2 linked regions of the Coturnix japonica genome follow. Each later gene encodes a partner of the first gene's protein in a complex. Links are inferred from orthologs where the notes say so. Each region holds a gene or a part of one and is shown on either strand. Other genes may lie near its edges. The genes, in order: RAB3GAP2 and RAB3GAP1.

Region 1 (2,808 bases):
TCTTTATCCAGACTTCAGATGTGATGTTTTCCAGATTGCACGATTGAATTTGATTGAGAATATTGATTAGCAGAGAGGATTGAGTTAAGAAGGGTCTGAGGGGCAAAATAACCAGAAGTACCATTATACTTCTGGGTCATCAGCTTAATTCCAAATAGTAATTGGGTTATACAAGACGAGGAAGGCGTATGTGCTTATCTGCAAGAAGAGCTCTAATGCTGTGTTTGTTCTTTTATATAGGACCCCCAGGAACTTCAAAACGTGCAAGTGCCAATTGCTACAACAGCTAAACTGGTGAACAGAGTAATAGAGCACTTACCAGAGAATCATGGGCAATATAGCCTGGCTTTGAATCTGATAGAGGCCGTAGAAGCCATCTCATCATGACGTTCTTCCTTAGAACGGTTCTGCTACGTAGTGCTACAGTGCATGATTTTACACACCAAGGCTGACATTTACAGAAAGAAACTTTTGTGTGGCTTTTGTTGAACGAGAAGAACAACGTTCCCCACCCCACAGCTCCAGCAGGTAATTTTAAATTGGAGTGTATCTTAAATTCTGCACTAGTACAGAGATGTTTAGTTTCTAGTACACTTGTCAGTATCTGAACCGCTTAGTTATTTATTTGACTTGAGCGCTTCTTGCAGTAGTCTGAATTGGGTATATTTGACAGCAGTTTTAGTCAACAAAATCATGTCTTGTGATATTTTTTGTATTTCACGCTAGCAATAACTGCTGTAGTTACAATGTTCCATGTATCATTTATCTAAAGAAGCTGCAGAATTAAATCTGAGGAAAAACTTCAAGTCTTTTAAGTTATCCTGTGATGCTGGTGCTGCTTTTCCAGAAGCTAGAATTGGTGTTGGGCTCCTGTCTGCTAACTGCACACAGATGACAGTGGGTGCACTAGAAGTAGAATGGAACATGCCTTACACAAAGGGAGAAGAGCCCATGTTAGAATCAGCTGGGAAGGGAGAGAGAACCACATCCCCAGACACAAATATGGACCTGTTTTCATCCAGTTTTAGCCTCTCAGCATTGTCTCTAGGAGGGTGTGCTGGGCTTCAGCTAAAACTGGATTTACATCCCTATCCTTTATTATTAAGCTCTGCTGAGTTTCCGTAGGTCTGTATGTACTGTAAGGTTGTTCCCTGTTCTACCACTGTAGAAGATGTAGTATGCTCTAAGTCTCTGCACGTGTTAACTCGTCAAAACTTGCTTCAATAGTTGTCCAACTTCACTGAAGATCTTCAGTTCTGAGTACCTTAGCCTTAAAAAACAACCCAACAAAACCGTTATATTGACAGTTCCTACAGGGAATCATGTAGTGAATATCTTCACTACCAGAGTGGTGTTACAAATGATTATCTTACATCACTTAATAGTTTTCCTTCTACTTAAAGGGAAGCCAGGAAAGGAAAATAGCGTTGTTGTAGGCTGTTTTGCCTTGAAGTCAGCTGAAGTTACTCCATCTTGTATCCTGCAAGAAACCTTCATAGCATTCTATACTGTTACAGGCAGAATTTGGTCTTACCTTTCTGGTGTATGCGCTGCTGTCATCTTAGGTTGGACTCCCCCTGAAAACTGCTTGGTAGGTGGTTAGCTCTGTAAGATGGGCAGCTGTTCAGCATCCCCAGTTGCTGACCTCTGCACTTTAATGTAGATGATGAAGGCTTCCTGACAAGATTTGATGCAGTGTTTGACTTCCTTTATGAGGTTGCATGAGTAAGAGGCCGGTGCTGCTCTGTGTAGAAGTGAAACAGGTGTAGGGGAATAATGCCAGAAGGCAAGGCTGGACAGTGCCTGTATTGCCTTGCCTGGCAGCACTTCAGCTGTCTGCACAAACAGACAGGCCTGAGAATCAGTCCTGAAACCTGAGGAGAAGCAAAATCATTTCTTAGTTTGCATTACATTCCTGTATCCTGGTACAGTTGTGTAAAGGACCTCACTGTAACTAAATATCACGCCAGAGCTGACACTCTACACCAATCAAATCTGTAATGTATTGTAAGTAATATTCTGTATATAGTGCTATTTTGTGTCTAATTTGCTGTGGATTTGTGTAAATTGATTAAATAAAATTTGAGGAGGTTTCAATGTGTTTTTTTTCCTTCTTTGTGGTGCTGCTTTTTGTTTGAAGAGGAGATGCTCTGAAGGACTGTTTCTTTGGGTTCTGCCATCCTATTTCCTGCCCATATGAAATGAGCAGTAAGGCTGCTCAGTGTAGATGTATATAGTATAACTGTATATAACAAGTATAACTGCACTTAGAGAAGATGGGTTACTAAAACAAGTAAATCAGTTGTGGGTTTTTTTTTTTTCCTTTTTGAACCATCATTTTTATTAAGCAGAAAATTCATATACACAGTTGAATATATACATATAGCTCCACCCAAAGCACATAAATTCTGCTCTGGCTGGGGAGGGGATGGGGGTGGGTTCAGCAGCAGTGGTTCCAAGAGCTGTTGGTTCACCACTGCTTTTACGCCTTTCAGTTACTTAGTACATTGGAGCAGCCTGTGTGTAGGCACTCGATCCTCATGTGCTTCCTTTTCCAGAGATGACTTTGAGGCAGCGGGGGCAAGGAGTGCTTGAGGAATCTGAAGTGTACCTCCTGCAGCGAGGGCATTTGGCTTTGGTGGTGGGTAGGGCTATGACTGTATAGGAAGATTCTTCACGAATATCTCCACCTGTTAAAGAAAAACCTTGCTGAGGTTATCTACACGCAGGTGTAGTTAATGTATTCAATCCCATGGATGAAGGGAGCAATCAAACAGGTTACAGTGCAGTAATAAGTAAATATGGCTT
Region 2 (4,395 bases), on another chromosome or scaffold:
ACAAAACTGTCAGATATGTGTACAAATACACTGAAATGAATATGCATTTAAAGATACATGAATGATAGCCTAGAAGTCATTAGAGTTACATGGGGTTACTGAATGCTAGAGAGAAAGATCATGAAGTCCTTAATGGAAAACTCCTTAATAATGTGCCTAATATGAATTATGTGTGTGGACTTTTTCCATCTAGAGGTAAAAAACACTTTCAGCATTCATTATACATTTTATTACAAGTTATTCCTAACAGGTACTATCGCTGGCAATGGTTTGGGTTTGTTTGCTTATTTGTTTAGCTCATAAATACCCATTTTTAGTCATAAATGCCTTTTTTCCCTTGCACTTCAGCTCAGGGCTCTCAGTGGAGCTACTAATGGGAAAGCAGCCCAGTGTTACAGTGCAGCCAGTGGTAAGATGTAAGCAACAGATGGCAGGTACCAACTCTGTCCTTCAGAGTCCTTCAGGATTGGATTTGTATTTCCAAGTCGTGACAGAGCTCAGTGGAAACAAATGGCCCATGTAGCTCCTGCTGGATTTAGTATTTCGCCACTTACTGCTGGTCAGCAAAAGAACGTGGCCTTTGTTTCTCATTCCATCAGCAATAAGTACACAACAAGCCGTCAGCATACGGCAGCCTTCCCAAGAGACTCATCCGTTTACCCCAGATTAAATTAATCATAACAATTCTACATGTCACCACCCTACATGAGAGAGAAATATTGCTAACACCAAACAGTGCTGCACCCTGACATCGGGCAGTGCTGCCATTGGAGGTTTATAACAGAGGAAGCAGAAGAGAACCAAGATCAGGGACAACCGATATTGTGTGGAACTGCAGTGGAAAGCAGCACTTTTGATTTCTCCTTATGCTAAACAGCAGATAGCCCATCAGAAGGGCGATTATATGAGCCTGTTAAGGGTTATACGCTGAACTTTGCCAGACTTTCCCATTTTTTTGTATATATAGATATATATATTTAATTCAAAATAACAGCTGAACAAGTTCTCAGCTAGCCCTTACCGTGTGTTTCAGCAGCGAAGTGTGGCAGAGGCACAGATTCCACACACACCAACGTGCCGGTGGCGGCGGGGCAGCGGGCTCGGACCTCGTCTCTGTCCCTATCTCTGTTCCTTATCTCTGTTCCTATCTCTATCCCTGTCCCTATCCCTCTCTGTCCCTGTAGCTGTCCCAGCGGCTCGGCCGTTCCGCCGCGCTTCGTTTACACCGCGTTGCCAAGGCACCACAGCCCTCTCCCTTCTCTTTCAATGCTTCCTTTACCTCTACGTCATTTTCCCTTTACAGCCAACACCTCAGCGCTCACTATGGCCGGTACATTCTCATTAATTACTCTCCGTCCCTTTGCAGGCAGCCTTAAGGATTACGTTATTTATTTGTGTTATTTATGACGGAGAAATAGCATGAAGCGCGCACTGGGGTCGAGGCGCTGTGTGAGGAACCCGCCCATCCCGCGCAGCTTCCCGTCAGCCCTTGTGCATGGGGCGGGACGCAGGGCAAGATGGCGGCGGATAGTGAAGTGAGTTGTTTGTGTCCCCCCATCCCGTCCATCCCCAGGTCTCCCTCTCATTGCTTCTCTTGCTTCTCCCTCTCAATGCTTCTCCCTCTCAATGCTTCTCCCGCTCTCTCCCCGCAGCCCGAGTCGGAGGTGTTCGAGATCACGGACTTCACCACCGCCTCCGAGTGGGAGAGGTACGTGCTGCCGCCGGGCTGTGGCCGGCCCTGCGTTTACATAAACAAGTCCATTTTCCAGTGAGAATATCTATGATAGAAAAAGATTTTAAGGCCTGTGTTTAAATTTGAATTTAGATTACGTGTCTAATGTGGTTTTTATTTTTCTCTAAGCAGTGAAGCAGGATTCTGTTTTGTTGCAGTACCAGACAAACGTATAACATCAGTCTCAGTTCTTCCACTCATGTTGTCTTAATGTATGATCATACCTTGATCTGAATTAAACCCTGTGTTGGCCATAACTGGGACATTTTAATTTTAGCTGGTCGTACTTGAAACTCTTCGCAAAACCAATAAGTGGGGGTGAGGGAAGGGTGAGTAGGGGAGACAGAAAGTGTGTTCCTCTATGTTAGAAATTACCTTTTTGAGGAAAAAATCATGCTTGAAGTGTAACTGGAGCATTCAGCAGTGAAGCAGTTGGGCTCGTGGATCCCCAGAGGTCCCTTCCATCCTACAGTTGTGTGATTCTGTGAAAATGGGAGAGACTTTATAAACACTCAACACGTGTTCATTGCTAAACATAAGGCTTATCTGGGATGTGAAACTAAAAGCACCGCTTTGTTTGTACAGGGAAGCAGGCTATTTTTGTTGTGGTCCTTGGTATGTTACTGTTCTTTTTGCTTTGTTTTAAAGGAGTTCCCCAGTAGGACTACTTGTTGCCTGCTTTTGGGAGTTGAATTTACAACACGAGCTGAGCGAGCAATCAGGAAATATTAATACCTTTTTCCCTCCTTAATAGATTTATTTCAAAAATAGAAGAAGTGTTGAATGACTGGAAACTTATCGGGATTTCTTCAGGCAAACCTCTGGAAAAGGTCAGTTGGTCGGTTAGGGCTTCTATGGTGGTGATGGGCAGAGTAGAGGATGCATGTGCTTTAGATGTGCAGTTTCATGTGAAGGAAATATTTAACTCTTCATTGCCTAATAGCGCCGAGGACTTCTGTACTCGAAATAAAAGCAATTAACATAGATTTTAGCATTCCGCTAACTTTAAGTGCTTTGAGAATTATCTTCGTAGTAAACCATGACTAGCTGTAAAAAAAAAAGGAGAGAAAGGGGAACAAATATTAACCTGAATTTATGTGATCAAGTAATAGCTTTGCTTGTTGCTTTTGCTATTTCCAATCTGCAGGGTGTATACACCACAGGAACCTGGGAGGAGAAATCAGATGAAATTTCATTTGCAGACTTCAAATTCTCAGTTACACATCATTATCTTGTGCAAGAACCTGGAGACAGAGATGGGAGAGAAGAAGGTGTAGAAGGTAGCTGACAGTATTCTTTTGTGCCTGAAATGTGTCACAGGTGTTGTAAGGATATGACAGAAGACAATTTCAGAGTGCTGATTTGCATCTGTGTGAAATCTGGGGGGGGGATCTGATGGGCTGGACTTGACATTTCTGATTTTTACTACATCTTACTGTGAACAAATTGCTAAAGAAGTAAACTTCTGGTTATAGGGATGCTGATGGTCTTAGGTGTCACATCTTTTTGCAGATGCCCTTCCTCTGCCTATGCAGGACTTGCTCTGCATGAACAATGACTTTCCTCCTCGAGCTCACTGTCTAGTAAGATGGTATGTATGCTGCCTTTCTTCTTTAACACAGAGAAGCATAGCAATAGATTGTTTTTAGGTTTAATTACAGTTCTTACTAACCGTAGTAAGAAACTCAGGACTGGTACACCTGGAAAATCCTCCTAACATTCAGTAGTGTTTGAGCATTGTTGAATTCCTGTAGTGCTGTGATGATCTACAGTACTGCATTCCCAGTCAGATCTTGGCCTCTGTGAAGAAGTGACACACAGCAAAATAAGAGTCATATCCTGTTGGTGACAGTTGGATTATTCAGGTTATAACGTTTCTGACAATTCTGTGTTAGAGCTGGTTTATTGGAGCACACAGATATATTGCCTTTTCCCTGCTCTTTCTCTAAGGTACGGCTTACGTGAGTTTGTGGTTATTGCTCCAGCTGCAAATAGTGATGCGGTTCTTAGTGAATCAAAATGTAACCTGCTGCTGAGTTCTGTCTCTATTGCTTTGGGCAACACTGGCTGGTAGGTGAAAGCATGAACTTTTTTATATGCTCAGGTGAAACTAGCGTACTATTTATGTAGTTCTTCATTTCATTAGGAAGAAGTTTTTAGTTGTTAGTGAATTACATTGTGTTTCTTGCATTTGCACCATAATGCTGTTACAAAAAGCCTTTTAAATATCTCATCACTGTGACAATATAAATACTGATTCAGTATGTTATTTTTATTCACTGTTGTATGGAAATCTCAAAAGCTTGTCATCAGTGAATCTTTGCATTTGTGTTTCTCGTGACAATTTTCAGGCTTTTTTCTCTTTAATGATGAAGTTAAGAATATTTTTCTGTGATTCATATTAAGCATTTTGAACTGTGTTGTCCTAAGAAAAAACATATTCTAAAAAATAGGGTGTTTAAAAGGCTATGAGATGGCAGAGATAATCCCAAATGTGGATGTTTTACAGCCAGGTGCCACTGTTTGTGCAAATACATCAGAAGTGGCGACGCATGTATGTTGGAGAGTGTCAGGGTCCAGGAGTCCGAACTGACTTTGAAATGGTTCATCTTCGCAAAGTGCCCAGTCAATATACTCACTTATCGGGATTGCTGGATGTCTTC

What was found.
Region 2: the proteins of RAB3GAP2 (region 1) and RAB3GAP1 are in contact, whole or in part, in a cryo-EM structure (PDB 8VYB), measured with the Homo sapiens proteins. The link is inferred for Coturnix japonica from reciprocal best matches to the Homo sapiens genes RAB3GAP2 and RAB3GAP1. Residues at the interface, in NP_036546.2 of Homo sapiens: Arg197, His198, Pro199, Gly200, Ser276, Pro277, Phe278, Asp279, Met281, Lys282, Ser285, Asn286, Ile287, Gly289, Phe290, Asn291, Ala292, Ile294, Arg377, Phe378, Gly379, Leu380, Pro381, Asp382, Arg385, Cys395, Thr397, Leu398, Arg407, Arg415; in NP_036365.1 of Homo sapiens: Thr19, Ser21, Trp23, Glu24, Glu142, Ser143, Asn146, Leu147, Leu149, Ser150, Ser153, Ile154, Ile169, His170, Trp173, Arg174, Met176, Arg187, Asp189, Glu191, Met192, Val193, His194, Leu195, Arg196, Pro199, Tyr202, Ile211, Ser214, Lys215.

What each region holds. Positions count from the first base shown.
Region 1 is NC_029518.1:16,360,269-16,363,076, forward strand, and holds the end of RAB3GAP2 (rab3 GTPase-activating protein non-catalytic subunit), read left to right. Parts: intron 1-240; coding exon 241-387; 3' UTR 388-2,101; downstream 2,102-2,808. Other genes in the region: IARS2 (isoleucine--tRNA ligase, mitochondrial), read right to left, coding at 2,539-2,690. UniProt on the Homo sapiens protein: Regulatory subunit of the Rab3 GTPase-activating (Rab3GAP) complex composed of RAB3GAP1 and RAB3GAP2, which has GTPase-activating protein (GAP) activity towards various Rab3 subfamily members (RAB3A, RAB3B, RAB3C and RAB3D), RAB5A and RAB43, and guanine nucleotide exchange factor (GEF) activity towards RAB18.
Region 2 is NC_029522.1:27,696,783-27,701,177, forward strand, and holds the start of RAB3GAP1 (rab3 GTPase-activating protein catalytic subunit), read left to right. Parts: upstream 1-1,424; 5' UTR 1,425-1,517; coding exon 1,518-1,535; intron 1,536-1,652; coding exon 1,653-1,708; intron 1,709-2,107; coding exon of another isoform or gene 2,108-2,127; exon of another isoform or gene 2,128-2,453; intron 2,454-2,486; coding exon 2,487-2,562; intron 2,563-2,879; coding exon 2,880-3,012; intron 3,013-3,244; coding exon 3,245-3,323; intron 3,324-3,682; coding exon 3,683-3,802; intron 3,803-4,241; coding exon 4,242-4,395. Other genes in the region: MAP3K19 (mitogen-activated protein kinase kinase kinase 19), read right to left, coding at 2,108-2,127. UniProt on the Homo sapiens protein: Catalytic subunit of the Rab3 GTPase-activating (Rab3GAP) complex composed of RAB3GAP1 and RAB3GAP2, which has GTPase-activating protein (GAP) activity towards various Rab3 subfamily members (RAB3A, RAB3B, RAB3C and RAB3D), RAB5A and RAB43, and guanine nucleotide exchange factor (GEF) activity towards RAB18.